Lytechinus pictus: one gene and its partner. The protein of the gene in region 2 purifies or fractionates together with the protein of the main gene of each other region. This does not show direct contact. Links are inferred from orthologs where the notes say so. Each region holds a gene or a part of one and is shown on either strand. Other genes may lie near its edges.

Region 1 (16,775 bases), on a different chromosome or scaffold from region 2:
CTCGTGTGGTAAGCCAATGACATTTGTGAAGTTAGGCAATGAAAGTGCACTATCTTGAGGTTTGTGAAGGAGCTCTCTACAAACGCTTTATACTTGAAACATGACACTAATACCTACAGACTGGATCCCAAACACAATATAGAATCAGTTCCCTCTGTAGCATCCATTGCACCGGGCCAGTTTAAGGGTTTGTCTACCACTCCCTTCTCACCAAAGTGCATTTACCTTTAGACTGGATCCCAAACACAGTATAGCATCTGCATCCTCAGCAGCATCCATGGCACCAGACCAGTTTAAGGGTTTGTCTACCACTCCCTTCTCCCCAAAGTGAACTATGGTGTCTCTTAGAGGTTCCTTGCACTTGTGGCAGTCCCGACTTGTCTTATGCCTCCGGAGCGATGTCTGTTCTGTAACATCAAACAGTCGCACGTATTGCCTCTCTGGCTCACATTCTGTGCAAACCTACAAATGAAAAGATGGAACATTCTAAAGACATCAAATTACTTCATAAGAAAATAGTTGACAGGAATATCATAGTTGTCAAGGGAAGTTAAACAAAAAAATAGAAACTAATCAATTTATGAAACAAATGTAATAAGAAATTAATATTTGACGATATATTTGCATATATAACAAATGAAATATAAACATTTTCAAATGCTTCCCACTGATTGACAAAAACTAGACATTATGCTTAGCTCAAGTAATCCAAGAAGTCACTCCCAATCAAATCAAGCATAGCTAGGAATATTGAGCAAAAACACAATTTCTTCTTGTAAAATATTGTGCCTGAACATGGTAAAATGTAGACAATAATAATATTTCATTACCCAGGGTGCACTATACTGCATTATTATAGAGTGCTTTAGGGACTTCTGATATAGCAAGTATATGAGTGATTTATACATTGTATGATGTAAAGCTGGTATAATGATCAACAGCATACCTCAATGTACATATTTCCATGGAGCTCAGATAACCTATCCGGAGGAACCCCACTCCTCAAGTGAAGACCATCACAGTTCTGGGATACAATGTGCTTCACCTGTAACAGGGTTGATACAAAAATAAATCAATGTTCAGCATTCATCAATGTTATGAATGTTGATTGTTAGGACCGTATTCTCAATTCAGGTTTAACTTAGGCCATGATCTATCTCTGTGTTAAAATTATGGGGAGCCAAAATTATCAAAACTTTGTTTACATTATATATTTCTAATATTTAATGTGCTCATTTGTTATGTTTTTATGATGAATAAAATTGTTTTAGTTACTACTTCCTAGTAGTTCTGAATTATTTGAGTGTCAATTAAGCTGATAAATTGAATCTGTAGGCCTACCTTCAGAGAATGTGTCACAATTGGCTATCCATTGTTAAACCTCAACTTTATACCAGAGTTTACATTAAACCTGATTTCAGAATTTGGGCCTCAGTGTTTGTGTTAATGTTGGTGTTACTTAATTACTTATGCAAAACTTTAGCATGACTTTACACACAACTTAACATGACAGAATTGAATTAAATCAAATTTATTAGCAACCTGGCATCCACAATGCTGGCATTTTTCTTCCAATGGATTAAAATTTACTTAAAGTGGATTTCATGTACACAACAAAAATGGATATAGCTATATAGATCACACTTTTAAAAAAGGCCATAGATGAAAAACACAGGTCTAGTAACATGATAAGGTCCTTTTACAAGATACCCCTCTGAAATTTTTGACAACTGTTAACATGATTTGGGACTTTTATCATATACCCTTCTGATTTTTTTTAAACTGGTAACATGATAATAAAGGGGCTTTTACGAGATACCACTCTGACATTGTTGACAAATAGACAACTTTGCATTTTAATTACTACAAGAATTTAAATCTGAAAGTTTAATATTGGATTTAAACTTTATCAAATGAAAATCAAAATGATTGATAATCTGTTTTGGCACCAAAGAACAGGTCATCGGGCATGTGTAAAGTTGTATGTGACGCTCCCAATTATGCCAAACCATTGGATAGCCAAAAGCTATAAAGGGCTGTACCGACTGCATAGAAATGTAAGCCCTATTAGAGCATTAATATCAGGCCCAGTCACACTTTCCGGATTGTGGATAAAATGTTGATCCAAGATGTAAATAACCCGTTAATAAGACATCAGGTATTGCTGCGACATTACCGGTTGTAACAGGGGCCTCTGTCAATCATGACATACCAATAAATCAATTAATAAAAAAAATAAGAAAAATCAATGAATGAATACATGCGGATTAGTCTCTGGACTTTAAAAGAGAGGGTTGTGGCTTGAATCCCAGCCATGGCATGATTCCCTTTAGCAAGAAATTGATCCACAATGTCCTGAACTCAAACAATGTGAGGTTAATGGGTACTTGCATGAATTTATTCCTTGAAACGCAGAGCATGTGACAGCTGCTCTGCTTAAGTCAAGGTAATTATGCCGCATTACTGTAGAGCGCAAAGAGATTTCTGTTAAAGTAAGTGATACGCACTATACAAACATGTATGATTATCATAATTATAATAATATATACATTAATTCATGAAGTCATTAATCCACTGATAAAAAAATTCAATATGAGAAGTAATACTAATTTAACCCTCAATCTCCCGGGGTATTTTGATTCTTGTCAATCCCGGGGGGGGGGGCCATTATGGCCCCCCCTTAAGATCTCGGCCGCCGATTGCGCGAGCGACGCAAAAATTTGCACACTGGTAGTGTGCAATGTAATCTGCAAGGCTGTATGGTAAAATTTTCCAAAATAATGAGATTTTATTTTATATGAATTAATTATGCTAATTTATGCATAAATCATACTTTTTGCTATAATTCACTAAATAAAGCTCCTAGAATGCTAATTTTTGGTAAAAAAATTCTTTGTAGCAATCTTAACAATCGCAATTAAAAAAACTTCGGTTCGGAAATCAATTTCTTATGTATTTTATTGTTTTATGAATTTCTTATGTATTTCTTTGTTTTTTTACTTTTTGTTTTTTATTGTTTTTTCAATGGAAATCATTCCAGACTTAGTTCTGATCATAAACAAGGCAAAATTAATTCAGTTTAATCAGTAAAACTAGAAATAATGATACATTTATGAATTTTGGCTAAATACACAATTTGCATTGGATTTGTACATGAAATCACGTTTATGAGCAATTTTGGGTCTGACATGCACTTACATAATGTTGCGTAATGTCGTAACCGTATACCCGGGCGTCACAAATTTGGTCTCAAAATTTGCGCGAGACTTGAAAGTAAAAAGTCAGTGAGCGGCGAGGTCAAAAAAATTTGCGCAGCAGATATATCGCGAAAATTGTCAAGGGGGGGGCCATTATGGCCCCCCCCCCCGGGAGAATTAGGGTTAACAAAGTGAATGCATGGATGAATAAATCATTATTGTAGTCATATAAGATTGGTATTAAGAGCTTACCATGCCTTCTTCCACCAGCTTGGCTAGAGCCATGTGAGTAAGGGTTGGATCTGCATCCACCAAAGAGCTGTTCCTGACAAACAAAACAGAAAGTAAGAAAGCTTTCTCAGCTACGAATTCAACACATGAAATAATAACAATCAAAATAATAATGTTGAATTTCACTATATATTCCAATGAGTGTATCCTGATGATCACATTCTGTAAACTGTTCAGATGTGTGTGCATAGTAATGACAACAATCAACACAAACATTATTTCTTAATTAGGCAATGTCGAAAAGCGATATACAATCCCAATCTATGATAATTAGAGCTTGATTCGAATACAATGAAATACATGGCCTTAATTAGCCTTGGATGTTTATATGCCCTTGCTTCTCTTCCCCATTTAGTATAAACAATTTTTTGGACATGTTTGGCATCACATGACTTAAACACAGTTTTAAACCATGGTTTTGATTATTAGAATTCTGAAAATGGCCAGGAAAAATCCTTTGGTGTCAAATTCATATCAAGCCAGATAAATAGCAGCATTACAGATTTATGTTTAGTATTTGGTGTTAATTGGTGTAGTGAATTATTTGGTGTAAAAACTAATGAGGTTTATCTTATGGTGTCAATTTGTGAAGTGTATAAGGTGTTAATTTGTGAAGTGTAGGCCTATTGTGTAATTAGTGAAGTGTGTTTGTGGTTTCAATTTGTGAAGTGTATGTGTAATTGGTTAAGAGGATTATATGGGGTTAATTTGTAAATTGCCTTATATGCAATTGGTGAAGTATGTCATATGGTGTTTCAAGTGTGTCAATTTGTGAAGGTGTAATTAGTGAAGAGTAAGCACTTTATTAGTGAAGTATATTATATGTTGTTTTAAGTGTACTGTATGGTGTCAATTTATAGTGTATAGTACTATAATGATTGGTGCAGTTCACAGAGTAAAAATATAAAAGAAAATACTGTTGTCTTACTGAAGTGAACTCCCTTTCCCTTGTTGAAGTAATGTCCATACTCCATTTGGTCCTCTGTAGTCGGGGATAGAGGCTGCCTGCCAAAATCATAATAAATTACACAAGAGGTTCAACACGCATGAAAAATTTGCCTAGAACAGATATATTCATGCTAAACAAAAACTGTACAAAATGAAAAGAAATTGAATATCACTCTTTTATGGATAATATGCTTTTCCACATAACTAATCATCATTTAGTCATATAGTGTTTTCTTTTTCAGATTTAGCCCCCTCCCTTGAAGGGTAAAAACATACACTTCTTTTCTATCTACTTATTCAAATCTTATTATTGGAGAAAACCTACCACTGCAGAGAGCCCATCTCCTAGACAAAATAAAATTATCAGAAAGCCACAATGTAACTCACATGGGTGGGCTATACGGCTATACATGTAAATGTGTTATGTATAGCCCCTACTTTTTATTTTTTAGGAAAACAGTCTGCTTAGAATGTACAATTTGGTTCTGTAATAAGGCCAATTTTGACACCTATCTTGCCCACCTCTTGTTGGATATCAAAACTTCTACCATCATTACTCACTGTACTAATTCCAGCTCCTGTGTAGATGACCAGGTTTTCTGCATGCTTTACTGCTTCTGCAAGCTCTGAAACCTTGATTTCTAGTTCTTCAGCAGAATCTTGAATCTTTGTAGAAAAAAAAATGTTAACTATTTCAAAGGGTCTCTTTAAAAAAAAAAGATCTGAAAGGGGGTGCTACATATCTAAAAATTCGAAAATTGAATCATGTAAAATTGGAATGGTACATACTCAAATATAATCATTAACCCTTTACAAAATCTCTCTCGAGGCTTTAATCATTACCCATACCAGTCCTTACACTCTAATTCCATCCATGTAGATTTTCAAACCTCTATACCTGATGATATAGGTCAAATCGACTTCTAGGGACTTTGGGTAAAAAATTCATCATGACCTCCAGCTGTAAAGAGTTCATTCATGACCTCCAGCTGTACACCAAGCTTAAAAACATAGTTTAAAAACATAAACCAGACAATGCCATGTGTTGACATTGGGATCTATTTCAGTTATTCAAGTCATTTCAGTATTTCAACCAGGGTTGACCAATGTCTCCATACCTCTTGCGATTTCTGACGATTAAGCTCCCTCAGTTGCGCCCTCTTTTCCAGAACCTTGACAACCTTTTTGTTTTGTTTGATGATGCATTCCTCCTCTGAACTCCTATCAGCCTGGTTCTTCTTCAGGATTGCCCTTACCTGGGATGATAATAAATTATTTCAATGTGAATTTTAAGCTGACCAACCGATTCAGGACAAACTGACCGAATTTGTGAACTGCCTCGATTGTGTTAGCTTTTGCGTCTGCTCCGAGAAAATCCGAACTTCTCGACAAGCATCAAGAAATCGCCAGTTTGCAAGCAGAGGTATCCAAATAAGTCTAATATGACATCAACCGAATTTATGGCATTTTAACCTCCATCTGATACAATTATCTTACCTTTGTAAGTGATTTATTTTCTAAAGCTTTGCGAAACGATCATGCACAAATTAAGCCTTTAGTTTAAGGTCACACTTTTTTATGACACATTTTCAGCCGAGCACGCACTAGTCGATCGTCATGGAATTTTGAGATCGCGATACCGGCGAAAGAAACACTTCGCCTACTTTATAATTCCGTCAAGCTAATTTGACTTTGGAATTGAATCTTGCCTTCCGTTTCGTATTTATGATTTTGATTAATGTAGTGTGAACTGTGAGAATTTTTTTGATTGAAAATAAACTTCATGATAAAAAAATGTGCGCAAATTATGGTCACCCCATCATACTGTATTAACTATTACCGAACATGTATTTTCTGTGGGAAAAGTTGAGAAATCAACAAAATGACAGTGCTAGTTATTATATCTTTATTTTTACTTTGAGGCCTGAGCCTCCGAGTCCGAGGCCCGTCAAGTTCAACTTCAAGTTCAACATGTTCAACAAACTTGAAAATGTGTTTTTGACCATTTTTCTTCATCGTTTTATTCAATCAAGTTCCCTTTGGAAGGATGTTGCAAGGTTTTAAGCATATTGAATTTTTTTTCGGATGCGTAAATGCGCGCGTTCATTCACTTTTGTCTAGAGGCTCGAGTGAGTCCGAGACTTGACAATCATGTGCGAGAAATTACGAGACCCCACACAGATGTTAACGAATGGGGCATGTGTCACGGGGAAAATTTGCTTTGCATAACTCACATTGATATTCTTTTCTATTTCACACCCTTACCTGACTTTCCTTTTCTTTCGCTTTATGTTTTTTGTAAAGGGCGGTCGTATGAGAAACTTTCCGACATTTTCTTGCTGGTCTATCTATTGCTAAAGACGATTTTCCAGACATTCCTCCGCTCAATTTGACCAACGGCGCGCAACTGAAATTTTCGATCATTTCAAAATAAGTCAACGAGACAAATTACGCACAAAAAGTAAGGAGCTAGTGCATACTGCATTTAAAATCTGAGACCTGTCGCATTAAGCTATGTCTGCAACCACCAATTTCTTCAAGACGGCTTCTGCTGAGGAATGGACAAAAGTTCTTAAACTCTACAACCATGTCTTGAATCTCAAGGCTTCTAAGATCCAGAAACCTGGTGGGAGCAAGAATTTGCTGGACCTTGACAAGTGGTAAAACGGGGTCGAGCGTCGAGGACTGAATCATCATCATCATGATTCACTGAGTGACAACACACAAATCAGATATCTGCTGATGATGATTTCCAGTCAGTCATCAGTCATGACAAGGGATATGGCCTGACGAACATGACGATTAGTTCTTATTAAGTTAGTTAGTGGTTGGGATATGAAATAGACTTTTGTTTCTATCAATTATCATAGTCAGCTAGGAATACAAAACAATTTTGATAATGAAGCCACACTGAAAAGTGTCAGCATAAAACAGGCTAATTTAGGGGAAAATATGGCACATTTTTTCGGGGAAGTTCAGGCTACTAGAAAAATGTGATCTGAATTGATTATTAACTTGTGTTTGGCATGTATGGAAAGAGAAAACTCGGGGGCTTCTTTTGACAGTAAGGACAAGTTTATATGGTCATTTTAAATAAGGATTTAGAGATAAATTGCAAACCCTTATTTTTGTGTGTGTTGAGATTGCCATTTCTCCATGCGTTTTCTATGGGAAAATGAAATTTCTGTTTTGCACAATTTTGTTCACTTTGTCGCAATTTTTCATTGTGATCTGGTTTTCAAATCTTTATAAAAATCATACCATCAGAAAGAGCATAAAAAATCCTATTGGACTCGATCTTTATGGACAAGTTTTTGGCATTAATAATAGATTTATAACAGCTCTCGGAAGCTAAAAATTTGGATTTGTGTGTGTCCATTTCTTAACTACACAGTCTATGGCAGAGAAATGCTGAAAATTTACCTAATTTCATTCTTCTTTTTTGAAGCCAATAATTGGATTTTTTTCAAAAATGTTACATTTCTGTCAGTCTGAAGGTCATTTCTCTTCAAATTCACAAAGAAAATGTGATATTTTCTTGAAATAAGAAAAATATTTTTTTTCTCCAGACACCCTATTAATAATAGACCTCTAAAATATAGTTTTGAATTAATGGCTTACCTTTAGAATCCAATGTCATGAATCAATTACAGATCTATGTGATATGATGGTGTGTGTGATGCCTCATTCGAAGACTAAATCCTTGCTCTCATAATCGATTATGACATTGGATTGTAAAGTTACTCCATAGTAATCCTCTAACAAATGTGTGAAATTAAACCGTATGAGAACCAAGAAAGAATTTTGAAAGATGAGCCAAAAAAAAGCCTAAAAAGTATCAGCGTGAGGCAGGCCTGATGCAGGAGTATCATTGTTGCCTATATATAGACCTATATCTGTTTCAAAGACACATTCTTCGGCTATTTTATGAATGTAATCCTTTCATCCCAGGCCTGTCTTGAATGGGGTTCGGTAAATTTACTAGGCATTTGCAGTCTGCAACCACCATATCGGTTCTCTTTGTTGAGTCTATAGATTATTAGCCATTTGCAATGTAGACAGTGATATTATCACTATTAATAACAGTTATGAGGCCCTAATGATAAATGCAAAACAATGATTTTTATATAAAACGAACAATAATACAGCTAGGTGATTGTGGTGATAAAGTGCCCTCTAAGATTTTTATTGTGGTGCAACAGTACAAGCACTTAAGGCTTGCAAAGTGCTTTTGCACAACATTGTAAATAACCAAGATCCATGCATGGCCATTAACAAGCTATTGTTTCATGTGAAAGGTCAACAATATTCTTGCCAGAATTTATTCAAGGAATAAAGGACCCATACTAATTTATAACCCTTGTGATGATGATGATGATCGATGGAAGTGATAATCAGGGGCGGATCCACAATTTCCAAAGGGGGGGACACATTTTTTCCCCAAGGAAAAATTTGACAAGCAAAAAAAAAAGGTTCTCCAAAAAAAAAAAGGATTTTTCATCCACGAAAAAATTTGACAAGCAAAAAAAAATCTTCACATTCAAATTTTAATCGTTCCTCTGAAAAGGAGGGAGGGGCACGGGCTGGCTTTGCCCCCCCCCCCTGGATCCCCCAGTGGGATAATGATAACAGTATTGATTATCAAAGGGGAATCAAACCCAAATAAAAAAAGTTTTCCTTAGAAGAGAAAGAAAAGCAGTTATATTTCAAAATTCAAATGATATTTTTCTTTAATGATGAGATTTTTAATGTGCTACCTTGGTTACATTTTTTTCACCTTGGTTATTTATTTTTATTACTGCCCTGGCACGGGAATAGGTACTTGGATTAAATTACAAATCCCTGATAATTAAGTGCATGGCCTATGGGAAGTTGTCCCTGCCACTTGTTATAATTTACTTATTCAGTTAATTTGAAATGTAATAGTCTTAGGGATATTGATTTTAAAACAGTTATAACTTTCTTATTACTTGCTCCATTTCTTACAAACTTTTACCAGTACTCTTTTACTTGTTTTTCTCCTCTCTCACATATTTTTATGACGAAGGTTAGATTTCCCTTTAATGATAATGATAATTATAATGAATAAAGATATAGCTAACATCAATGATGATGATATTGATGTTGATAATGGTAACATCAAATTTATAATAGGACAATAATTTATGTACAGTGTAGTCATTGTAATCATACAATTGTAGGTCTTACAGATTATACTCTGGCATTCTTTTTTAACTGACAAGTGAGTTATTGTCGTTGTTGTTGTTGTATACAGGTTTCAAACAGAACTTTCACAGTCAATACAAGGAAGGAAAGAAAGATACATCACACATGAGGAGTTAACAAAGCTTATGAAGTGGAAATTGAGTGTAAGTAAATTCTGTTACATTTACCAGGGATTGGAGACTTGGTGGCCCGTATTCTGAACTCGGGTTTAAATTAAACCCTGGTTTAAAGTTGTGGTTAAACTATGGAGAGCCAATTGGGGGACAAATCCCTAACGGTACAGTATATATTCCATTTATCAAATCATATGACACCCAAGTTGTTCATAATTGTCTGGGAATGATAACTGAAGTATTTTTCTTCATTATGAGAGCAAAAGAAAAAGAAATAGTAAACATGAGAAATATACAATATAAACAGATTTATTAAATTTGGCTTCCCATAATTTTAGCACAGAGTAGACCGTAGTCTAAGTTAAACCTGACTTCAGAATACGGGCCATTGGTTGGAAGGCACTTCTGCACTTTGGGTTATAGGATAACTCCCCAGCCCAATGCAAACTCTCCCAGAAGGACACTTTGCTATACTATATACTAGGCTGATGACTATTGGGTCCCAAGTACAACTGTTTTCCTTGTTTTTACATATAATTATTTCTGCTTTCGTGATATGAATTCTTCCAAACCACTACACCTGGATTTAGTGCGGCAAATATCAGTTGATGCCTTGTAGTTGTTTATAAACAGGGCCCTAAGTACAGAAAGAGACTTGTCCCTGGGACCTCAAGTTATGCTGTATGCTTAAGGATTTACATAAAGGAATTATATTGTTTGTTGCTGTTGTTGTTTGTGGGTTTTTGTTTCTTTTTTTTTTGCTGCTTTTGTTGCAATAACTAAAGAACCGCTTTGATATTTAAAGTGCATAGAATCATTACATTTGAGGTTATCCTTTATAGTAGCATCAAAACATTCTAATCGAACAAAGTATTCAAAGCTCAGGGGCTAGCCGCTAGCTAGAAACACCTATAGCTTGCTCCTCTATTTTGTTTTTTATCAGAATTTTCTGATGTCACTCATATTCTCAATTTTCTCTCGTTTCACCAGAGAGGAAAGTTCCGACCCAGATTGACTGAAATGGTCCAGACCAACAGCCCAGACCTTGTTGAGAAGTCTAGCCGACAAGCCTTCAAGAAGTTACCCAACGTGGGTGCTGCCATCAAAGAGTTGATTGTGCTAAAGGCAGTTGGTCCAGCAACAGCATCAGGTGGGTGTTTCATAAAGCTGTTTGTAAGTTAAAGTGATTGGTTAACTTTGGTTTGACTTTTAAAAAATCTGAGCTAGAAGGTCACACTTGTTACCTGTGTCTGTGATATGTTACAAAAATGAAGTCCAGAAAAAATTGCGTTCGAAAATAATTATTTAGTGCTTCAAAAATTGAAATATAAAGTGACCGAAAACATCATCTTAATTTCATCCCAAATGTGTACTATTTAGGCGTCTATAAGACGCCTATATATTTACAAAATCGGGGTTTGCCTTGTAGTTTTAGCTTTTCATTCTCAATAATGGTTGTTTTCAGGGTTTATTAGTTCTAATACATGCACTTGTACACATGTTTCATCTTGGTTTGAGAATTTTTTTAATCGGCTGCTCAGTAGTTAAACAATACCTTTAAGAACGCCTGGTGATCCTTTCTTATGGCAAATGGTATATTCATTAGAGATGGTTTTGCGCGTAAGGATCACCAGTCGTTCTTAAAGTCACTCTTAACTTACGAACAGCTTTATGAAACGGCCCCCAGGTATATCCCTAGTCCCCTGGATACTGTACGTTACAGTTCAAGGTAGAATCCTTGCTTGATGGGGGGTGGGTCTGCTCAAGGATCAGTGATGTTTGCACCTTTGCTCATCCTAACATCTCAAAATTAGTCCTTATAAGTAGTTTTATCAAAATCACGTTGCTGTTATTTTATTTTCAATGCTTTTATCTTCATTTTCAGTGTAGAGGGGTCACTATACAAACGGTATCAAATAATTGGATTTCCATGTTCAGGGTAGAAATGTTTGCCTGGTTGTGACGCCATTTAAAGTTTCAAAGCGTAGATCTTGTCATTTAGGTTGCATTTTAGATACATGAAGCATCAACCGGGGGTGTACTTGAGTCTATTGTATTGCAGTTGATTTAAATGTTGAGCAATATTACTTATTCCTATCCAAATGATTTAGCTGCTATAACAATCATTAACTTATGGAATATTAATTCATTTCAATTCTTTTCTTTTCTTTTTTTCTTGTCAGCCGTCTTAGCAGCAGGAGCCCCTGAACATGCCCCATTCATGGCAGATGAAAGTATGTTGCCTATTCCAGGCCTGTCCCCACTGGCTTACACTGAAGCTGCTTATAAAAGATATGCAGTAGAGGTTCAAGACTGTGTGAAGAGACTCAAAAAGGAAGGTAATGTACAATGGGAAGGAGATTGTGGAAAGAGAATGAATTTGAACAGTTAAAATCCCATGTGGATAGGGTGGATAGTTGACCAGTGGTATAAATGTTGCAGTGGGCTGAGATTTTAATAATGTGATGTTGTGTTCTGTAAAAAAAAAATTAAGTGGTTGAAGTGAGTGAGCTGAAAATTCGTATTTTTTTAATTGAATTTTTTGTCTCACCGGCATAGCAGAGTGAGACTATAGGCGCCGCTTTTCCGACGGCGGCGTCAACACCAAATCTTAACCGAAGGTTAAGTTTTTGAAATGACAGCATAACTTAGAAAGTATATGGACCCAGTTCATGAAACTTGGCCATAAGATTAATCAAGTATTACTGAACATCCTGCCTGAGTTTCAGGTCACATGACCAAGGTCAAATGTAATAGGGTCAATGAACTTTAATAGACCATGTTGGGGGAATCAACATCAAAATCTTAACCTAAGGCTAAGTTTTTGAAATGTCATCATAACTTAGAAAATATATGGACCTAGTTCATGAAACTTGGACATAAGGTTAATCAAGTATTACTGAACATCCTGCTTGAGTTTCAGGTCACATGACCTGATGACCAAGGTCTAAGGTCATTTAAGGTCAATGAACTTTGGCCATGTTGGGGGTATTTGTTGAATTACCATCATATCCCTGTAAGTGTTTTGGTCTAGTTCATAAAATGTGGAAATAAGAGTAACCAAGTATCATTTAACACCTTGTGCGAGTTTCAGGTCACATGACCAAGGTCAAAGGTCAATGGACTTTGGCCATATTGGGGGTATTTGTTGAATTACCATCATGACTCTGTAAGTATATTGGTCTAGTTCATAAAACTTGGACATAAGAGTCATCAAATATCACTGAACATTTCATGCGAGTTTCAGGTCACATGACCAAAGTCAAAGGTCATTGAACTTTGGCCATTTTAGAGGTTATTATTAGATTGCTGTCATTACTTTCAAAGTATATAGATATAGTGTATAAAATGTGGATATAGGGGTAATCAAGTATCACTGACAAGTTTTAGGTCACATGATCAAGGTCAAATGTCAATGAATGTAGTATTGTATCATTATATGAATGGTGTTTTTTGTGAATGATTATTTTATATTAGTTTTCAAAGTCAGCACTGCTGTTATTTTGAATCGCGTGATGCAGGTGAGACCGCCAGAGGCGTTCCACTTGTTTTTTCTACAAATCTTAGTACTTACAATGTACATTACTACCATGTAAAACATTGCTCTTAATCTAAATTTTGCCATTTCCTTATATTTCATCTGGAAATATGTATTCAAGCTTTTCTGTCTCCGCTCACTGGACATTTCCTATATTGTGCCATCTAATGTCGTGTTCACTGCCTATTCAACCTTGAATTATGTAATGTACCACCAAACAGTATGTTATATCTCCTCTTATAATTACTTTTTGTAGACTTCTGATTTGTTTTAATATGTACTTGAAACCACTGCATGTTTTACTTATTGGAGGAACTATATCCTGTTGTCTTCAATGAAGGCTCACCAATAATTTCAGATTTTTCATTTTAACATTCTTGCTGTCCAGATCCCTCCGGAGAGTGGACCCCGCATAAAGTGGAACTGGCCCTATGGACCCATTACATGGCTTGTAAGCTAGACCCCTCTGTACTCGAAACCAAAAATGGACCATCTAACAAGAGGAAGAGCACTGGAGATGGAGATGGGGATGAAGAAAAACCTAGAAAGAAATAAAATATTTGTTCCCATGGTCCTGCTTCAAAACATTCCCACAGTATCTAATCATGGTTACAATGCTGCTATAGGGGGATCTAAATTGTTACTTGCTTGTGTTAAAGCATTTTAACAGTACTTTGTACCTTGTATCTTAGTACGAACCCCACTCCGCGTGTTTCAGTTGCCTTCTGCAAGGAACTAATGCTGAGCAATGTTCCCTGCAGAAAGACCTGGGCCCCATTTCATAAAAGTTGTTACAATTTAAAGCTACTGAAATTCATCGATTTGATTGGCTGATAGTAAACTTGTAAAAAAATTGTGTATTTGTTATTGTAACAAGTCTTTATAAATCGGGACCCTGGTCCTGTCTTCTGTTGGCTTAAACCATCAGGGGGGTGTTTCACAAAGATTTAATTATGACTTAGAGTCGCACTTAAATGCCTAGTTGTGCGAGGTATAAAAGCCATGACCGCATTGGTGAGATCATGTAAAGAGGACGCGCACTATTGTATATTGATCAATTAGATTGCACGTTGCATTTAAGATACGCGTCGGCATTTAAGTGCGATTTAAGTCATACTTAAATCTTTGTGAAACACCCCCCTGGGCCTGTTAACAGAAAGGTTTACAATTAAACACAAGTATAAAAGAATGATTCCTGGTCAGTGTTTTAAATAAATGAACCTGATTAGCCAATAGTCATTAAGTATTGATTGTAAACCTTTATTTACATAGCCCTAGAATCATGATAGTGATGAATTTTACCAAAAAAATCTGTCTTTGTGAAAAAAAAAAGCATGAGATTTGTTTGGCTTCAAAGATAATTCATGATCAGTGGATTTTTCCCCCTCCAAATTTCTGACTTGTTCTTCAGTCAGTATTGAGTGCATCAAACAAAGATCAATAATTCAGAATGTTGCCAAATAATGAACATTTTGATGTGCCATGTGATTCACCCTTTTCTCTTGTCGGGTCTCTATACTAAAAGTCCTAATGGTCGTTTTGTGATAGAGGATCGCATATAACACTTCAGTACTATGAGCTCCATAGCACAAATATATACTATGTATTCAATGAGCCTTGTTGAAGTATTATGAATAATGATGACAGTTTGAACATGTCACAACAGGGAATCACACCAGTTATATTTTATAAGATCTTATGTATACCAAGCTTCAAATGTACATGTTTTTATTTGCTTTGATATCTCTAGAGTTTTTTTCATGAGAAATAATTGTTCTTTTGAATATTTTTTCTCATTTTTATAGCAAATTCCAAATATATCAAAAAATTATGCAAAATTTGATCTTCATTTGAAAATGCATTTACTACATGTATTTACTTTGGGTGTGAATTCAAGTCAGTATTATCTTCATAGAATTTATTTTGCTGCTGTTAAAATGTCTTTCCTAGAATGTTTGTCTTCCAATTTGTTCTGAAATACTGTGCTTTAAAACATTTCATCGTCATTCAACAAGCATTAAGTTGCATTAAAGTGGGAGGAAGAATTTTGAGAGTGGACACTATACCTGGAAACAGTACAAAATTTGATTTTCAAATGCATGTTGAAATGGTATTTAAATAATGTGAATAATTCCAATGTTAACAATTTGCACTGTTTTGAACACAAACAGAACGTCGTCTTTTACTCAGTGTTCCAGGTAATGCCAGATGCAAATAAGAAAATAAAACTTTTCAAATGAAATATGTTTCTTGTGAAGCAGAACAAATATTTAATATTTAATCATGCCTTAATAAATGATTGAAACATGGTTAAAAAAAACATATCTTGAAGAATATATTAATTTTATTCATGCCCAACAAAGTTGATGTATGGGTAAATAGTATCTTAGGGTGGTTCTGTTTTGCTCAATTTGTGTTGTAGGAAATTGTTTAATAGTGAAAGAACTAAAATCACAAGGAAAACAAGAGAAAGAGAGATGGATAGGTAGATAGGTAGGTAGAGAGAGCGAGAGGAGACTGAAAGAGGCGACCGGGGAATATATAGTGAAAGTAACAGACAAAGTTTAAAACAGAAATCATATTATGTAGGCTATGTAAACAAAAAATAGAGGTAGTAGGTTTACCTGAGAAAAATCTAATTGCATGATTTACCGATTCTTGGGTTTTTTTTGGGGGGGTGCTTAAATTTCCATGTGGAGACAGATTATGCTAATTTAATCAATATGCTGGGATATTATTTTCAATTTTCAGGTCAATTACCTAGCCAATGGCAATAGTTTTTTAATTTATCATTACCAATATAAATTTGTGATTCTTTAAGCTTCAAGAACGTGTTCCAAAAACTTTCCAAATATGATATATCTCTTTAAAGATAGAAATAATTTATTTTCAAGGCAATGTATTTTGACCTGGTATCTCTTAATTATTTTTCCCTTTGATTTGTTTTATTGTGTGTGTGTCCAGCCATGGACTGGGAAGGTTATCACTAAAAAATAAGGCATTTGGTCCCTGGGTGGGGCAGAGAGTGCATGGGCGTCAGTGCAGAGGATTATCATTCATTCATGGCGGGGACATCTATTGTTGCGTCGTCCCCCCCCCCCCCCCAGCACAAAAGATAATCCTTTGCGCGGACTCCCATGAAAGAGTGAATACAGTCCCCCCCCCCCCCCCCTAAAAAAAAATGTAAAGAACAGTCACAGATACCGTACCGTGCTTCAAGTAACGTTCTATTCTGTGCAATATCATCGACTATCTTCACTCGAAATGTAGCGGTTAATTTGAGAATTTCCTGCGGGTGAGTTTTTCAGTTTTCGATAGTATCAATTTAACCGTGATCTTACTTCACAAACAGTGCTGGCATTGTCCTCTTAGGCACTTTGTGTTCTTGCTTGTATTTAATTTGCATAGTAACATCATGTATTTGCTGTCTGGCTGATGCTGAGCGACCGACGGTCGCCCAGC
Region 2 (16,461 bases):
ACATAAATAAAATGACATTGTTACTCATTAACATGAAAAGATGGCTACCAGCAGACAGCATGTCAAATCTAGTGTTTCAAAAAGAAATGAAATTTCGATGAAATTGCCTGCGGACAAGCAATTTCTAGATACTTTCTGGAAATTGGCAGTACCATCAGATAATGAACGGATATCTGGAGCAACGACTTTGCTGCGAATTTTGATAGAGAAACAGAATGAAAACAAAAAGGTGAGCAATGTGTCGAACCCACGTGGTCGTGGTTTGGTAGCGGAGCCAGCATGGCCTGCGCTGCACTGCTGGCCAGCAGAGAGGGGCGCGGCACGGGCCGGTCGGTTGAGCAGCTGCGCCTAAACAGTGACAAATCCGATCGTGACCGGGATGTTCCTTACGCGGGCGCCGTGGCTAGCGCGTCATTGGCAGCTCAGAGCCAGAGAGCATGGCCATGGGCGAGGTAATTCTTATTTCTGGGTTACTTTTAGACCAGTACCAGGGCCCAGGGATTCTATTTAATTGTTAGGCCAGTAAAAAAAGAAAGTAGTTGATCGTCCTCGCACGCATCTATTTTGGCCGCCGCCATGAAATTTTTTACTATTTATTTACTATTAAAAAAATTGGCTATAAAAATGTCAAGAAGTGATGTTTCTCGTCCTCGCCCGCTTCCTTTTTGATTGCCACATCAATTTTCTTGATATTTACTATATTTACAGCTGCTGAAAAGCGTAAAAATTCACAAGATTGGTGAGCGATTTGCTCTCATGTGCTGCTCAGGGTAGTGAGATATCTCGCAACTTCATAAAAGTAAACAATTGCAAAGTCCAATATCGCTATAACTGCGATAAAGAAAAAAATTCTGATTTGGTTTTTTTATTGGTAATTTTGGAGATACGATCATAAACTAGTGAGAAAATAAAGTTTGCAAACTCTGAAAAAAATAACAATTTTTAGTGCATTTTCAGGAACCCTTCTTCCTGAATCTGAACCAATCCGTCGCATGCTTTGCCTTTGGAAATATGGCGCAGCTCAGATAAATCAATTTTAATGACGTCATTTGTATATCAGCGGGGTCTTTGGTAAGTGATAGCGCCTGTATTTCGATGTGTGTTGCGGTGATTGACTGCACAGCACAGCCAGTGGCAAATTGTCCATATAGACTGTGTACAACGAATAGACCATCTCCGCACAGCGATCCGAGACCGCTGATTGGTCAATTGCGGAGATCACATCATGACTACATGTTCACCAAAGTAATTCCTTCAGATTGCGTGCAGAAGTATCGATTACGATATCCGGTCACATTGCGTATGGTAAATGGTCTTGGTTTGTGATCGGATGGCTCCAGTTAGTGATGCCACACCATATTTAAATTTTGAAGAAATTTTGAAGTAATAAGCCACAGGGGGTCATATTTTCTGCCGCCAATTCGGCAATAGCACAGTTTTCATGTCTGTTTGGCTTTCCATTAACTTTTAGTCCATGCTGGAAAGAAATGAACAGTTTTTATTGTCCCAAGCATTCTTAGGGAATATTTATTCCTGTCTGACCCATTAACAGTGATTTTTGCCATCATTATTATGCAAATGATTAAATATATTAATTATATGCGATAAAATCAGTGAACTTCCGGTCAATCATGCTGTGTACAACAGTACACTGTTTTATATGCATAAGCATTTTTAAAATAATACCACCATATCCTAACTTCCAGATAAGTATTACATTCATGTTTTTATAAAAACTGGCATAATTATCTGTATATGTATATTAAATACATAATTCATTCATACATGCAAATTTTCAATGAAAATGATTCAAAAAATCATGTTTTAGACACCATGCAACAGGTCTGACTTGCAAACATGTAACTTACCTGGAGTGGAGGACAAACGGATACCAGAACAGAAAAGGGGAATGCCTGGACAAAGGTTGAAGAGTTGTTAAAGAGAGACTGAGCCAGAAGATGCAGAATTAAGTTTGGTATCGATTTGGTACAAATTGGTTCAATTTGCATTCGCTTTTCATTTTCAAAAACATACATAAAACAAACCTAACGAGAGAATTCTTATATATATGATATATATATTTTATATGATGAGAATTGTTCAAACAAAATTTATAATGATATTTATAATTAGCAGGGTGCTACATAACTTTTTTGAAGCACTTGCCCAGTCGGGCAAGTAAATTTTCAAATAGTTGGAAAATACTTGCCCGAATATAGATTTCACTTGCCCGAAAAAATCCTTCAAAACAAAGTTTTATTGCTTCAAAACAAGTTATAGCCTTATGGTTCATACCACACCATTGATGGCTTTAAAAATACATTTTTCAACATGACTACTGATGTACCTTGTAGTTGTATTTCTTTTTTTTTAATGATTTTTTTCTTGAACATCATGACAAATATATGGTCAATATGCTCTTTAATTAATTTCCTAATCTCATATATTTTCCATATATTTTGGAGGGGACTAGGACACAATAAAAAAAGGGGAAATCACTGAAAATAACCAGAAAAAAAAAGAAATTAAGAGAGGGGGAGAGAATGAAAGAAAGACAGAAAGGACGAAGAAATAAAAAAATATAAAGAAAGAAAGAGAGAGAGAGAGAATGGCTGCGGGGAAGAGAAAGATGGAAAGAAAGGAAGGAGGAAGGGAAAAAAGGATGGAAAGAAAAAAGAAAGAAAAAAAAAAACTGAGGGGAAGAGAAAGGAAAGAAAGAAACAAATAAAAAAAGAAAAAAGTTAAAAAGAAAGAAAGAAAAGAGAAAAAGAAAAGGTAAAGGATTGATGGAAGGAAGGAAAATGGAAAGAAAGAAAACAAGAGAAAGGAAAGAAGGAAGAAAGAAAAGGTATGATAGATGGAAGGATGGATGAAAAAAAAAGAACGAAAGACAAAAAAGAAAATCAGAAAGAAGGAAAGAAAAAGAACGGAAGAAAGAAGGAAGGAAAGAAAAAAATAGGGAGAAAAAAACTGAGGGGAAGAGAAAGGAAGGAAAGAATAAAATAAGAAAAAAGGTAAAAAGAAAGAAAGAAAAGGTAAAGGATTGATGGAAGGAAGGAAAAGGGAAAGAAAGAAGACGAGAGAAAGGATCGAAAGAAGGAAGAAAGAAAAGGTATAAGGGTAATAATAATAATAATAATAGTTGGATTTGTAAAGCGCTTTTTGCCAGAGGATACAAAGCGCTGCTATTATTACCCCGGCTTTAGCTCAAGCTACCATCACCGGCGCTCAGTGCATGCAAGGAATTACTCCTTACCTGGTCGAGTGCAGCACAGTGTGGATAAATTTCTTGCTGAAGGAAAATATGCCATGGCTACGATTCGAACACACGACCCTCTGTAGATGGAAGGAAGGAAAAAAAGAAAGATAAAACGAAAGACAGACAGAAATGAAGGAAGGCAGAAAGAAAAAATAGGAAAAGAAAGGATGAATGAAAAAAAGAAAGATCAAAAGAACGAAAGACAGAAAGGAAGGAGAAGGAAAGAGTGAAAGACAAAAAGAAAGGAAGGAATGAAGGAAGGAAAGAAATAAAGAAAGAATGAAAGTGATGAAGAAAGTAAGGAAGAAAAAAGGCAGGAAGAAAAGGTAAAGAATGGATGGACGGAAGGAAGACAGAAAGAATGAAAGGAAGGGGAAAAAGAAGGAAGGATTAAAGAAAGAGGTAAACAAAGGTTGGATGGAAGGAAGAAAGAAAAAAGATAGAAAGAAAAGAATGACAGCTATAGTAACAGAAAAAATGAACAAAAAAGGAAGGAAATTTAAAGAAATACAGAGAGATTCAAAAGAAGGACAGAATGAAAAGAAAAGAAGGAAAGATAGGCAGAAAGAAAGAAAGCTCAATCTATCCAGTCATAAATAAAGAAGAAAATTTATAAATTTCCTTGGCTAAAAAAAATAGTTACGAAAGAAACCACGTTTATCAACATACACACAAATGCATATGTGGGACTGTCAAACAATGTATTTCAGTGTGTGCAACACAGACGATCATTCGAAACCCGATCTTTTTGAAGCATAACAGAAGTGAAAATTTCTCCTTTTACTGCTTACAAATGACAGAGCTACCCCAATTTTTAGGAAATATGGACATTACAAGAATTTTCATTGGTAAGAAATGTGAATTTTGACAGTTCTGTGGGAGATTTCTTCCAGAGAAAACTTTGTTCGTGCAGCACCGTACTCCGTAGAAACTTAACTACAAGCATCGGTTGCGTGTATGGACTAGGCGCTAGCTAGCTAGGTATGCTAGACTGCCATTGATTCTGTGTGTGTGTGTACGTCTCTGAGCTGTGTGTTTATTGCAGAAAATGGCGCAAATTTTGCAATTCGAATCATGACTTATAAACTTTTTTGAAAGAAATTAATGATATTGCTTTTTTTGTCTCTTTTTCTTTTCTGTATTTTGATGGTGAAATATGGGAAATCTTTCTAATATATAATTTCTATAGGAGAATTTTGCTTCAAAACACTTGCCCGACTCTAACATTTACTTGCCCCGGGCAATCGGGCAAGCGCTTATGTCGCACCCTGTAATTAGTGATAAACAAATTCATGATAATACCTTACCTGATGAGGAGGTAACAGATGTTGTAAAAAATGAAACCCCTAGGGGAAGTCAAAGCCGGCTTGAAGCAAGAAAGCAGATGAAGAATTCACACTAAGTTGGTATCCAAGATGAGGTAGTACTCCTGAGGGATTGACCAACACGTCATGACCAAGACAGTCCAAGGAGGAGAATAGACACGACACCACACTGGATGCTGGGAGAGGGGAAAAAAAAAGAGAAATGATGCAACCAAAATTTATATAATATTTATAATTAGTGTTAAAATAATTCATGATAATACCTTACCTGATGAGGGGGTAACAGATGTTGTAAAAAGGGACACTGCTAGGGGAAGTCAAAGCCGGCTTGAAGCAAGAAAGCAGATGAAGAATTCACACTAAGTTGGTATCCAAGATGAGGAAGTACTCTTGAGGGATTGACCAACACGTCATGACCAAGACAGTCCAAGGAGGAGAATAGGCACGACACCACACTGGATGCTGGGAGAAGGAAAAAGAGAAATGATGCAACCAAAATTTATATAATATTTATAATTAGTGTTAAAATAATTCATGATAATACCTTACCTGATGAGGGGGTAACAGATGTTGTAAAAAGGGACACTGCTAGGGGAAGTCAAAGCCGGCTTGAAGCAAGAAAGCAGATAAAGAATTCACACTAAGTTGGTATCCAAGACTGAGGAAGTACTCTTGAAGGATTGATGTTTGACAAGAAATTGACGCAGGAAATAGTAGATAAGGGGAGACACCACACGCCAATACTGCAAGTAAAAGAGATATCAACCAGATATGAATTAGTACTCTTTGTAGTTTGTAGTTACACTATATTTTGTATTCAGTAAGGTACATGTTTTCAAGGGGATACATTATGGAAATGTTTACTTCTGATCCACTTTGTTTAGCATAATATCTTCAAGTCTCCTTTCTCGTAGTCATCCAATAGCTGATAGGAGTATACTGATGTGTCACCGTCGTACGTTGCGTTATACCAGGATGGGTAGCCAGGGACCTGGCTGATACTCTACCAATGAATTCTTTCTCATCTCCATCAGCATCTTTGAATTTATGTTGTACCTGGGGGGATAAGGGTGGAATAAATGTGATGAGTACATTTCCTATATACATTTTCTTTCCTTTTACATTTATGAGAAATTGATTTTCAAGGCAAAATAATAGAATAGTAAGAGTGCAAATGCACAACTTACCTAAAGAAAATGAAATAATATTCAATAATATAAAATATAACAATTGCATAATGCAAATTGTGAAATAATAATTTGAAATAAGGAAACAAATAGACAATAAATGGTACCAAAGTATGTTATTGCAATATAAACATGTATATTGACAGCAAAATAACTGATATCAAAATACTCAAATCATACTGAAAATGTACAAAATAGAATAGATATTTGATGTAAATATTCAGTAAATGAAATCATATGAAACATAAAAAAGTAGATGAATTTACATACCTGAAATAAAGTATAATACCTGAAAAGCCTTGATAAATAGAGCAGGTTAACACTCATCTGGATTACCCATACTAATACAATGAAATAAGCTTATGTTAATCAGTTTTAATATTCAGGATTCATAATGGGCTGACATTATCGTACAGCAAGAATAACAAATGAGGTGTTTTTGTATTAAAGCATAATACATACATGTATTATGCAGCATAATTGGACTTACAAATCAAACTTTTTTTACAGTTCATATTCAAGATCTGTTCATTTTATATTTTAATTTGTGAAATCGTAGAGTATGTGATGCTGCATTCTCTGGATTTAATAATGCATATCTTCTCAAATTTCTAGTATACAGTCTTTTTCTGACAGAGGTAATTCTCACCCTTTTTCCAACAAGAAGAGGCTTGTCACCATCCTGGCTGGCTGAAGGAGGGAGAATGCCGCCTTTATCAGCTCCTTCACATTCTTTGCCAGTTCTTCAAAGGAGAAGGAGCAGCCTCTCCAAACTGAAGTGATACACGTCTGGCGAGGGAGGTGTCTGTCTTAGCACAAACTGTCGAAATCTCAGCTGAGCCTTTAGTGCATTGATCTTAGAAGAATTTGAGTGAAGCGACGCTAACATCTCCACTTCGTGCTCGCTTTGCCACAGACCATAATACTGGATCTCAGTGGTGTACTTCTCCAGCTCTTGAAGTTTTCTTCTTTCAATTGCTTTTTCTTTTGCTTTTCCAAGCCTTTCCTCTTCTGCTCAATGATCTTTGACGAACTCTCCTTGAAATTTTGATGCACCACTCTTGCTTTCTTCCTTGCATCGTCTACCACCTTTTCAGCCTCTTCCTTGGACATCTGTTGCAACCACTCGGATGTTTCATTGAGTGAAAACAATGGTTGCTTCATTTGCAAGCAGGGTGGCATTTGGTCTCACCTTCATCAAGTGATCAAGGTATGCAAAGACTCGCTAAGCATGCTTATTATGCTTGTCTGTGCTAGTAGACGTTGCTCTTGTGGAGTCATCAAATTCTGTCAGATATTCACTATGAGTGCTCATTACCTTTGCCAAAGATGGAAGGGCATTCTGAAGAATTGTTTGTGTGAGACCATCACTTTCACTAGGTTTTACTAGGCACTTAAAGATAGGGTCTTCCTCAACCCTGATATGTACATCACTCAGGTCCCCTCATGAATTCCTCTGGCCTTTCGCTCCCTTGCTTGAGGGTGTCTAGAACCTTCCTATATATATCTATAGATATCTAATATGTGCTTGGACTTCTAGGCTCCTCCAAAGGGGTGTGGTGACCAGCTTGCTGATTAGTCCAAGCGCCCTGCACCCTGCCAAGACGTATGGCTCTTCTAGGTCGGCCTTCACACTCTTGAGCAACTTGTTGGGCACATCAACGGAGCTTTCCAAGAAGCTTTTCATTTGTGACGAAAGGAAGAAGATGTACGCAGCATTGAAGAACAGGATGTTGAACCTGTTCCCTCTCAAGGGAACCAAGGGAAGCGACTTCATATGATGAGCCTTTAAGAAATCCTTACAATATACCTTGAAAGGACCATGCATCCCGGATTGCTTGTTGCCTCCATGAGCAAATGCCTTTGAGGATGTCTTGATCAATCGGATGACGCTGTTACTGTCATGAAGGAAAATCCTTTGGACGCAGCACCTAGCTGTTGTCCCTCAAACAGCTCTTTTTCCACTGAAGAAAGACCTTTCTCACTCACTTCAGCATACTGTACCAGACTGTGTAGCCCACAGAAGGATGTTAGTTGTTCCAGTGGTGCTCTCTCGTCAGCAGTGAGGTTGTCCCAGTTTTCAATCAGATTGGGCAGCACCTCTGTCCGATGCAGTCTCAGAAGCTCATGCCACTTTAGTTCCGTGGCTGCCCTGTCGGACATGGTGTTCCTGATGTTCTTCAGAATTTTTTGCCCCGCTGTGCGTCCTTCAGCTGCTTTGTCAATGTCTCGTAATAGCTCCTTGAACGTATCAAGCGTATCCGAAGCCGATTTGGTAGCAATATCCCTCAGACCCAAAACGTAATATCTCTTGTCACTGTCGGATCCATGGTAGCCCAATATCTTCTCGCCATATTTGGAGGTCTCGTCCGTATACAAGGTGGTGTCTTCTTTTGAGGAAAATTCGCAAGCTGGTTTTGAGCCACACAGAGACGCTGAATGTTCATATTCTCAACAGTCGTCTTGGAAGGGAGTCGCTCACATTTCTTCCCTGTTAGATTCTCAATCATACTCTGGTTACACCTACTTGGTTGTCCAAATCATAGACGCAGGTGGTTAGTTCTGTGTTAAAACACCGCTTGTCATCATCAAACGTTGGAATTGTTTCGTTGGTGAGATAATCTATCCTCTCTTTTAAATCCTTATTTTCACTTCTGAGAGTGACTTCTTCCTTTTTGATTTCCGCCATCTCGGTCTCAAGTTCTGTTATTCTTTCACTGTCTTCATCTTTCTGATCCTGTTTCATTTTCGTGCATTTCCCTCGATAATAATTCTCTCGCTCCCTTGTCCTCTTCAGTGAGGCACGAAGGTTGGACGTGCAAGCTTTTTCTACTTCCAACTTACTTTCTGTCTTTTGGAGTTGAGTGCTCTGTTGCTTCAGTTCACCGGAGATCTTGGCTGTGCCTGCTTCAAACTTGCAATGTGTGTGATCATCGCATATATTCTCTCCTCTAGGGTGCCTCTTACTCTCCGTCGCCACTGGAAAGCGAAATTCCTGAGCTAGAATTAGGTCTCTCCGTTCTTGAGCAGCTGCTACTTTATCCTTCTTCATACGTTGAAGTTTTTCCTTCACTCTTGTAATGGCAGAACCAATTGACTTATCCGGAACATTATGCAACCTATCCTGAAAAATACCCTTCAGGTGTTGAACTACTGCAGTCACATTCTTCTGCTGCTTCACGAAATCTAGAACATCAGCGTGAGAAACGTTGGCGCGAGATGCGCTTTCTGTACCTTTTAATGGATGTAGGGAAGAAATGGATTAGCATCATAAAGACGGGGCCGCAGAAAGGTTTTGAAAGTGGGGGTGCGGGGTGAATATGCATAAAATCATAATCAGATGGGAATTTTTTTGTTTTTGTACACGATTTTGGGAAAAAGAAGGACGGGGCTGAACGCCCCAAGGCTGCCCCAAACCCCCTGTTTCCGCAGCCCCTGGAATAGAATTTATTTTGTATTTCACACTGATTTTTTGTTTTTTGTTAAATGTATCATCATTGAACTTCTATAATGAGCCAGTGTTGAAGCCATACTTCAAAAAGATAATCTAGAATAGTAATTAATATAGAAATAATCATTAAAATTTGCAAAGATAATTTTTAATAGCCATTTTTTATTTTTATTTTTTACTTTCATTCTTTATACAAAATACAAACATATACTGTGGATCACCCTTGAAAACATGCAAATAATGCGGTTTTCAAATTGGCAAATTTATTTTTGGGACACGGGGTATGCAAAATAAAATGCAAAAATGATGCAGCTGTGGTGGAAAGTAGGTAAAGGAGAAAAGCAAAATATACCTTGAAATAAAATTATTTGCACCATGAGTAAAAGGTTCCCAAATATTGAATAAGAGCATGTGTAGGAAGAGATAAGGGGGAGGGCTTTAGTATTCATGGTTTGAAAAAAAAAATAGTCTAGCCTTGACAAAAACATGAAGCAGAGAAAAGGGTCATAACATAAATAAATCTGTGCATTTATCATTTAATAAAAAAACCTAAACTAGAATCAAGCTTTTTATTTGTAGGGTCTTACTCTTATTAACAAGGGATACAGGCTCCAAATTAAAAAGTGGGGGTGAAGACATCACATGACAGCCTGGCTTGGTCACACCCACTTATGCATATGGCCATACGATAATACGGGCAGCATTTGTCATCATAACTAACTGTTAATTCATCCCTGCAAATCATGAACACAAACCCACACACACATCCCAGCCATAGATTTGTAAAGTAATATAATCTCACTTTTTATCAATTTAATAAATAGTATTGGCCACTCTCACCAAAACACAAACATTAAATCGCACTCTTCACAATATTTCATCATAATCAACATTTTTCAGTACGTGGGACTACACGTTAACACACTTCCGGGTTCTCGGACGCGTCTGGGGGCGATATTTACGGAATCTGAGAAGGGACTTTCCCTTGAATTTACCGCTTTCGCTAAAATTCGTGGCTCTGAATGGCTACTACAAGTTTGGTGTCATTCGCCGCGATTCAACAAATAAGATAAAAAGTGCTGCATCATTGAAGATACCCCTACTATTCGCGCTAAACAGCTCTGAATCGCACCTATAATTCGAGTTTATCAAAATCTGCCGTTCCAGAGCCCCCCAAAAGTATTTAAAAATATGAAATTTCTTATGAAAAAGTTGCCAAAGTTCTTACCTTCCAGAGAAGCCATGTTGCAGTGCATTGTGGGTAAGAAAAACATTGAAATCAAGCTGAAAAAGGTCACCCTCATAACCCGGAAGTAGATAGCCAGTGACAAGAAATGCTTCGTGAAATGAACTACGGTGGAAAAAAATGAAGTGAGAAAACTGGATTTCCTCTAATTAATCACATTTATTCGTCAAAAAAGGAACAAACATTGAATGGTAAACATTTTCAATCATATTATTGAGATATAACAATGTAATGGTGAAAAAAGGGATTTCGACATCATTTCATCCACCCCTGTTTTGTGTACTGTTGGAATAGGGTCTGGCAAATGAGGGGATTGTGTGGCATCGCTACTCCAGTATCGATCGAAAATTATCGAGACTTGGCAATTTCATGCATATTCACGCGACGCTCCGAAACCCGGAAATCAAATGATATAAAGCATGGATTGCTCAACTTGATCTCTGCTCTGCCACGGGTCATAGAAGATTATATCCTGAGTCATCAACTCTTTTTCTCTTATTTGCTTTTCCTTCCTCGCTTCTTTTCTCAATTTCTCCTTGAGCAGATCATTTCGTTTTTGGACAATTGCTTCTCTCCGTTCTCATATACCTTCTTCATTTTCCTGGCATCTTTTCGAGCTTCCTTGATTAGTCTCTGACGGTCTCTTTCCTCCTTCATGTTGATCCACTGACCAGTTTTGTTCAATGAGAACATAATCATCCTGACTCTGGTGATTCGAATTTGGCCTTGATCTCGGAAGATGGTCGGCATATGCTAGGACACGTTCGGCAAGTTTGTTATGCTTTGCAACACTTTTGGTTACATCATACATGTCTGGAGAGGGGCTGAAGTGCACCCCACCAGGAAGATGCTCACCGTATTGTTTTTTTAGAAGACCAGACATTGCTGGAAAGATGACAGACAAGAAGACTTGTACATCTGCATCATGTTCTGATGTCTTGATTTTCACTTTACTGGGAGGAGAGTTGTTCAAGTTTAATCCTTGCAGCATCAAGCTCACCTGTCTTCTCTTGAAAAGATGTATGCAATTGACCTATTTCATTATCCTTATCTTCCATCGATGTATGTAGAACTGATGCCACTGTTGGACCAGCTTCAACATCCATATCATGGTCAACATGTTTACGTTTTCTAGTCGCAGCTGATTTTCTAGGAAACTCGTAAGGAGATGAGAGGAAGCTTTTGTGCCCATCTGTTTTGCGGGATTTATTTTTATTTTATTTTTGAATGCACGAAAGAGGGCTTTAACACATTCTTTGTAGGCTGACAATGTTGCACAAGATTCGGTCCCCCATTTGCTCAAATAAGTTGACTGCAACCATTTTGCACAATTATTATGGCCATTTTCCCTTCTTTGATCAAGTACTTTACCTTTAGATAACTCTAATTGTTGGATATTGGATTGATTTTATTCCTGGGGGGCTTGCACTGGCCACATGTATGAAAATATTTGATTTTCCCGCCTTCAAAATTCAATGCATCGATTTTTGATCGAATTGAAGCTTTCGAACACCGGTTTACAAAATAATCAATGACTCGGGCCTAGTTGTGATCATCACAGAGATTCTCTCCTATTAATTTTCTTCTGGCCTCTGTTGTCAGTTTGACACCGATAAGCAAAATTCCTTTGCAAGAACTTTTCCTTCATTCTTGAGATGGCCAAACTGATCGATTTATCAGGTACATTTTGAAATCGGTTTTGAAAAATCATTAACATCCTCTACGTATTCTGTACCACAATGCAATATTATAAAGATCAACTGTTTTTGTTTTTCTTTTATCCAGGATGAGTACTGTTCAGAGGTATCATATAGTCTGAGAAGACTTGTGCGAGGTCTAGCTTCATCAAGGAAAGGTGCTAGACAGGGTTATGCAATAGCCCTTACTGAAGTAAGTTTCAAAGGCAAATGCTGCAATTATTTTTAATTAAAAAAAAAAATTGGAGGGGAGGTGGTGGGATTGATGACTTGAGTTGTAGTCCCAGCAAAATTTCAGATATCTTTCGGGATCCTCTTTTTTGGGAAGCAAACTTGGTGTACCAGTGAGAAATCTTTCGGGATCCTCTTTTGGGAAGCAAACTTGGTGAACCAGTGAGAAATCCTTCCGCTATCCTGTCTGACCAGAGAAAGTTGAGGTAATGACCATCAGGCATGTCTAGTGCCATTGCATAACGTCTGATGGTCATAAATCTTGTTCTATTCTGGATATATCCAGATGGTGTCAGATTCCCCGGGAAAACAAATTAAACTGTACCTTTAAAATTCAATACACGGTAACTTATATGTTATCAGATATAAATGAAATATTTACGCTGTAAGCAATTTTTTATCGGATAATGTACATACACTTGCACGCTGCACTTCACCAGTACGACAATACACCAGACGGTGGACTGTACTGTTTCCAGAAGAAGAAGAAGGTTAAGCTCGCGCTGAATTTTATTCCATTTATTCAGATATCAATGTCGGTCTGTAGTACCCCTTTACAACCACTGTATATACACAAAATACAACTGCAGAGATCTATGAGCCTCAACCAATTGTGCTGTATTGCACCAAACTTTCATTCTGTTGCTGGCTTCAAGCATTTTCAGGTCATGGAGAGTGAGATATTCACATCACCATACCAAACAATGGGCGAAATATGCAGAGCATTGCATATTGATCACATAAATACATTTCATTTTGGTGATGGGCGATACCTGTAAATGGGTATTACATCCAAAATTGCCCTGCAAGCCCAGTGCTTTAGAATCTGTAATTTTATCATTTCTGTATTTCTTGTTCATCCTTTTTTAAAAACAAGCCCACCTCTACAATACATTGATATGAATAAAAGAGATTAAAAAGATGAAACAAGCCTTACAATGATAATTCCATGAAAATTTGATGAAATATAAGAAAGTTTAAACCCACTTGGAATTCAATTTTTGTTTATTGTCATATGTCAAAAACTCACAATGTTTCTTATTTCATGAATTAAAAACTGGTGATTGCATGACATTGTCAACTCTCATTTTCATATCATCCATGATGTGCCTACCTTGTGGCTTAACACAAAACTGCAAATGTCATTTATTCTTTTTTCTCTCTCATATGATTTTTTTTTTTTGCTGGGATGGACTTGACCTTGTTTTTATGTTTTGTCTCCTTTTTTCAGTTACTTTGTAAGGTGAAAGAGATAGCTTTGGAAGATGTATTCAAACTTATGAAGCAAGAACTTCAGGTGTCTGGAAAGAAGAGTGTAAGCATTACCATTTCCTCACTTATAGGCTGTTTGATAACATGCAAACCTAATGATCAATTGTCGTATGGTAAGCCAAGAAGACATGAAGCGAGCTTGGTGGATATGGTATCTGTGACACACTCCTAAATAATATCTTATAAAATGTATTTAATCTTCAAAATTAAAACCTGGTAATCCCTGGAGCACCTTTTGATCTATGAAATAAACAGCATGCGAAATGTTATTTGAAATTCTACCCATTTTCTGATTTATTTTCTTATTTTGGTTTCAGAAGTGGGAGGGGCATGCTTCCCTGTAATGTCCATGTATTTGGCAGTATTTTTTAAAAATAAAATCTATACATCTTTACTTTATTTGCATGTTAGCAAGGACAAAGAATGAAAATGGGTGAAAATGTTGATCAAACATTACTGGAAAGCACTTTTTATTCCCACAGGCAAATCAAAGGGTTAAGTTTCCATTTCAGATGTGTATTTTGATTTGTTTCTTCTTTAGGCAGGATACAAAACTCGCAAGCCAGCTTTGCTAGGACTATCAGCAATATCAATGAAAAAAGCATTGATAATTTTCATTTTTGCATCATTAAAAAAAAAAAGTAGTAGTGATGTGATTTAAGCCCACATCATTTACTGATATATTTTGTTATTTAAGTTCAGATCATAACTTTATTTTGAAGATTCATCTCATTTGTAAATATTTTATATGCAACAAACAGGAAGAAAAGGAGTATGCTTTTGGTCAAGTCTTTGCCTATCTTGCTGTCATCCAGAGTGGGAGACTCAACAAGGTGTGTATACAAGTAGACAAGTCTGCTTTATCCCTTCTATTTAAGAAAAATAGGTACATATTGCTTAAAGGTCAAGTTTGCCTCTTACAAAATGTTGATTTGAATTAATCAAGAACAAGGCAATAGCCAGATTGTGTCTTGCCAACTTGTGACTACTTAACATGAAGGTTTCCACAAGTGCATCCCTAACCAAGTTTGATTGCACAAGAAAGTATTGCTGGTAAACTTGAATGTCTGACTTCAAATGACCTTTGACCTCACAATGTGACCTCCAACACAATAGCGACGTGATATTTACCCCAGTGCATCCATGGCAAAAGGTAGTTGAAAAGGGAGTAGGGGTTGCAAAGTAATGTATGAATATATGATTGATCTTCAGCACAATGGAGCGGATTCTGTGTACGTCCTAGAGCAGCTACATGCCTTGTCAAAACAGAAGTCATATCTGCAATTGATTTGTCTTCAAGGAGTCATTGACCTTATCAAGAGAGTAAGTACTATTGATGTAGTTGAGAGAGAAGTTCTTGTTGAACAGCTCTTGCAGCCTCAATATTTTTTAGGCCTGAACTACCACTCAAAAATGGAGAAAAGATATTATTGACCTATTTACTTGTTAATTGTATTCAGTGCATAGAATTTATATTTTGTAATGTAGTCGTATAGAATAAAGATTTTTTTTTATTTATGTGTGCATGAATTCTATGTACCACCAGAGTTAAGTCTCCCTGTCTGAAAGTAAGATGAAATTTAATAAATACATGTATGAGAATTTAAGATAAACATCCCTAATATTCATGTGGTGTTTTTTTTTATAAATTGTATGCTTAAATTTTCCAGGGAGTTATAGATTGTGGAATTACATGTATGAGAACTTGAAGCAGGGGAGATTGCATAAAATAAATTATTGGGTATTATGATGCTTAAATAAATTCTTATAATTTACAGGAGTTTCCTGATATGTAGGAATTAATTCCTTGAAATGCTTGTGCACTCTAAAATGTTGCCGGGCTAAGGCCAGGGTAATAATATCTTAAGTACTGTCAAAGCTCATGAAGACGTTATGCAATACACATGAACGGAATATAATTGTGCAATGTTTGTATTCCAAACCCTTTAGTCATCGGCCGAGCTATTCTCTGATCACATATGGCCTATGCTGAAGTCTGATTTGAAGCAAGGATGGGAGGATATCTCACCCAATAATTTGGCCCTTCTCATGGTCTGCAGACAAAAGTTTCCAGTAAGTCCCCAAGATATTTGTTATATTCTAATTATTTGCATGCCCCTATTATCACAGAATCTAGTTGATTATCGACCAGTCATAGATAAATAAATATTTTTTATATTTAAAAGTTGATTTGATCTTTCACTGCAGTCATGTTCTTGGTAAGGCTAGTGAAAATTTTGATGTTTATTTTGGCTCTTCATTGCCAGGAAAATAGAGAGGTCTGAAATACAACGTCTTTATTAACCTTCTCCCTGTCTGCCTTTCCTCAAGTTTTCACTAATCTTTCCCAAGGTTTTGATCTATGGCAGCTCATAATATATTGGTAATGTGACATGAAAACTTATTTACCTTCTGAACTCCATTATAATTAAATGAATAAGAAATAATAATTGAATAACAGTGACAATAATAACAAATAAATTGTTCATGTACAATGCTGATGCTGTTTCCAATTTGATTTAAATCTGAGGAGTGCTGCCTTTTTTGTGTTTCATTCTAGGACGTTGTGAAATCCAAGTTTCTTCAGAATCACTATGGCCATGTTGATCTGGTTCACCCAAGCAACTTCACCCACATCATCCAGATTCTTACAGTATGTAGAATGACTGGGTTCAAACTATAGATTGTATATTTGATTTTCATGATTCATTTTGAGAATTTTAGGAGTCTTATGTAGTGTAGTAGAATAATACTTTAGTGAAAAGTTTCTGTGCTCTTAAAGTCTATATCATT

What was found.
Region 1: the proteins of myb-binding protein 1A-like protein (region 2) and NAD-dependent protein deacetylase sirtuin-7-like purify together in Homo sapiens (affinity purification with western blotting; 3 studies listed by BioGRID, with this or other methods). This does not show direct contact. The link is inferred for Lytechinus pictus from reciprocal best matches to the Homo sapiens genes MYBBP1A and SIRT7.

What each region holds. Positions count from the first base shown.
Region 1 is NC_087254.1:24,732,271-24,749,045, forward strand, and holds the start of NAD-dependent protein deacetylase sirtuin-7-like, read right to left. Parts: upstream 6,884-16,775; 5' UTR 6,861-6,883; coding exon 6,702-6,860; intron 5,693-6,701; coding exon 5,555-5,692; intron 5,103-5,554; coding exon 4,998-5,102; intron 4,494-4,997; coding exon 4,417-4,493; intron 3,523-4,416; coding exon 3,450-3,522; intron 1,046-3,449; coding exon 947-1,045; intron 463-946; coding exon 226-462; intron 1-225. Other genes in the region: uncharacterized protein LOC129269347, read left to right, coding at 6,951-7,096, 9,712-9,805, 10,766-10,925, 11,959-12,114, 13,702-13,868. UniProt on the Homo sapiens protein: NAD-dependent protein-lysine deacylase that can act both as a deacetylase or deacylase (desuccinylase, depropionylase, deglutarylase and dedecanoylase), depending on the context. Specifically mediates deacetylation of histone H3 at 'Lys-18' (H3K18Ac).
Region 2 is NC_087246.1:16,069,514-16,085,974, forward strand, and holds the start of myb-binding protein 1A-like protein, read left to right. Parts: upstream 1-10,464; coding exon 10,465-10,479; intron 10,480-12,253; coding exon 12,254-12,358; intron 12,359-13,627; coding exon 13,628-13,711; intron 13,712-14,429; coding exon 14,430-14,501; intron 14,502-14,880; coding exon 14,881-14,991; intron 14,992-15,618; coding exon 15,619-15,741; intron 15,742-16,228; coding exon 16,229-16,321; intron 16,322-16,461. UniProt on the Homo sapiens protein: May activate or repress transcription via interactions with sequence specific DNA-binding proteins. Repression may be mediated at least in part by histone deacetylase activity (HDAC activity).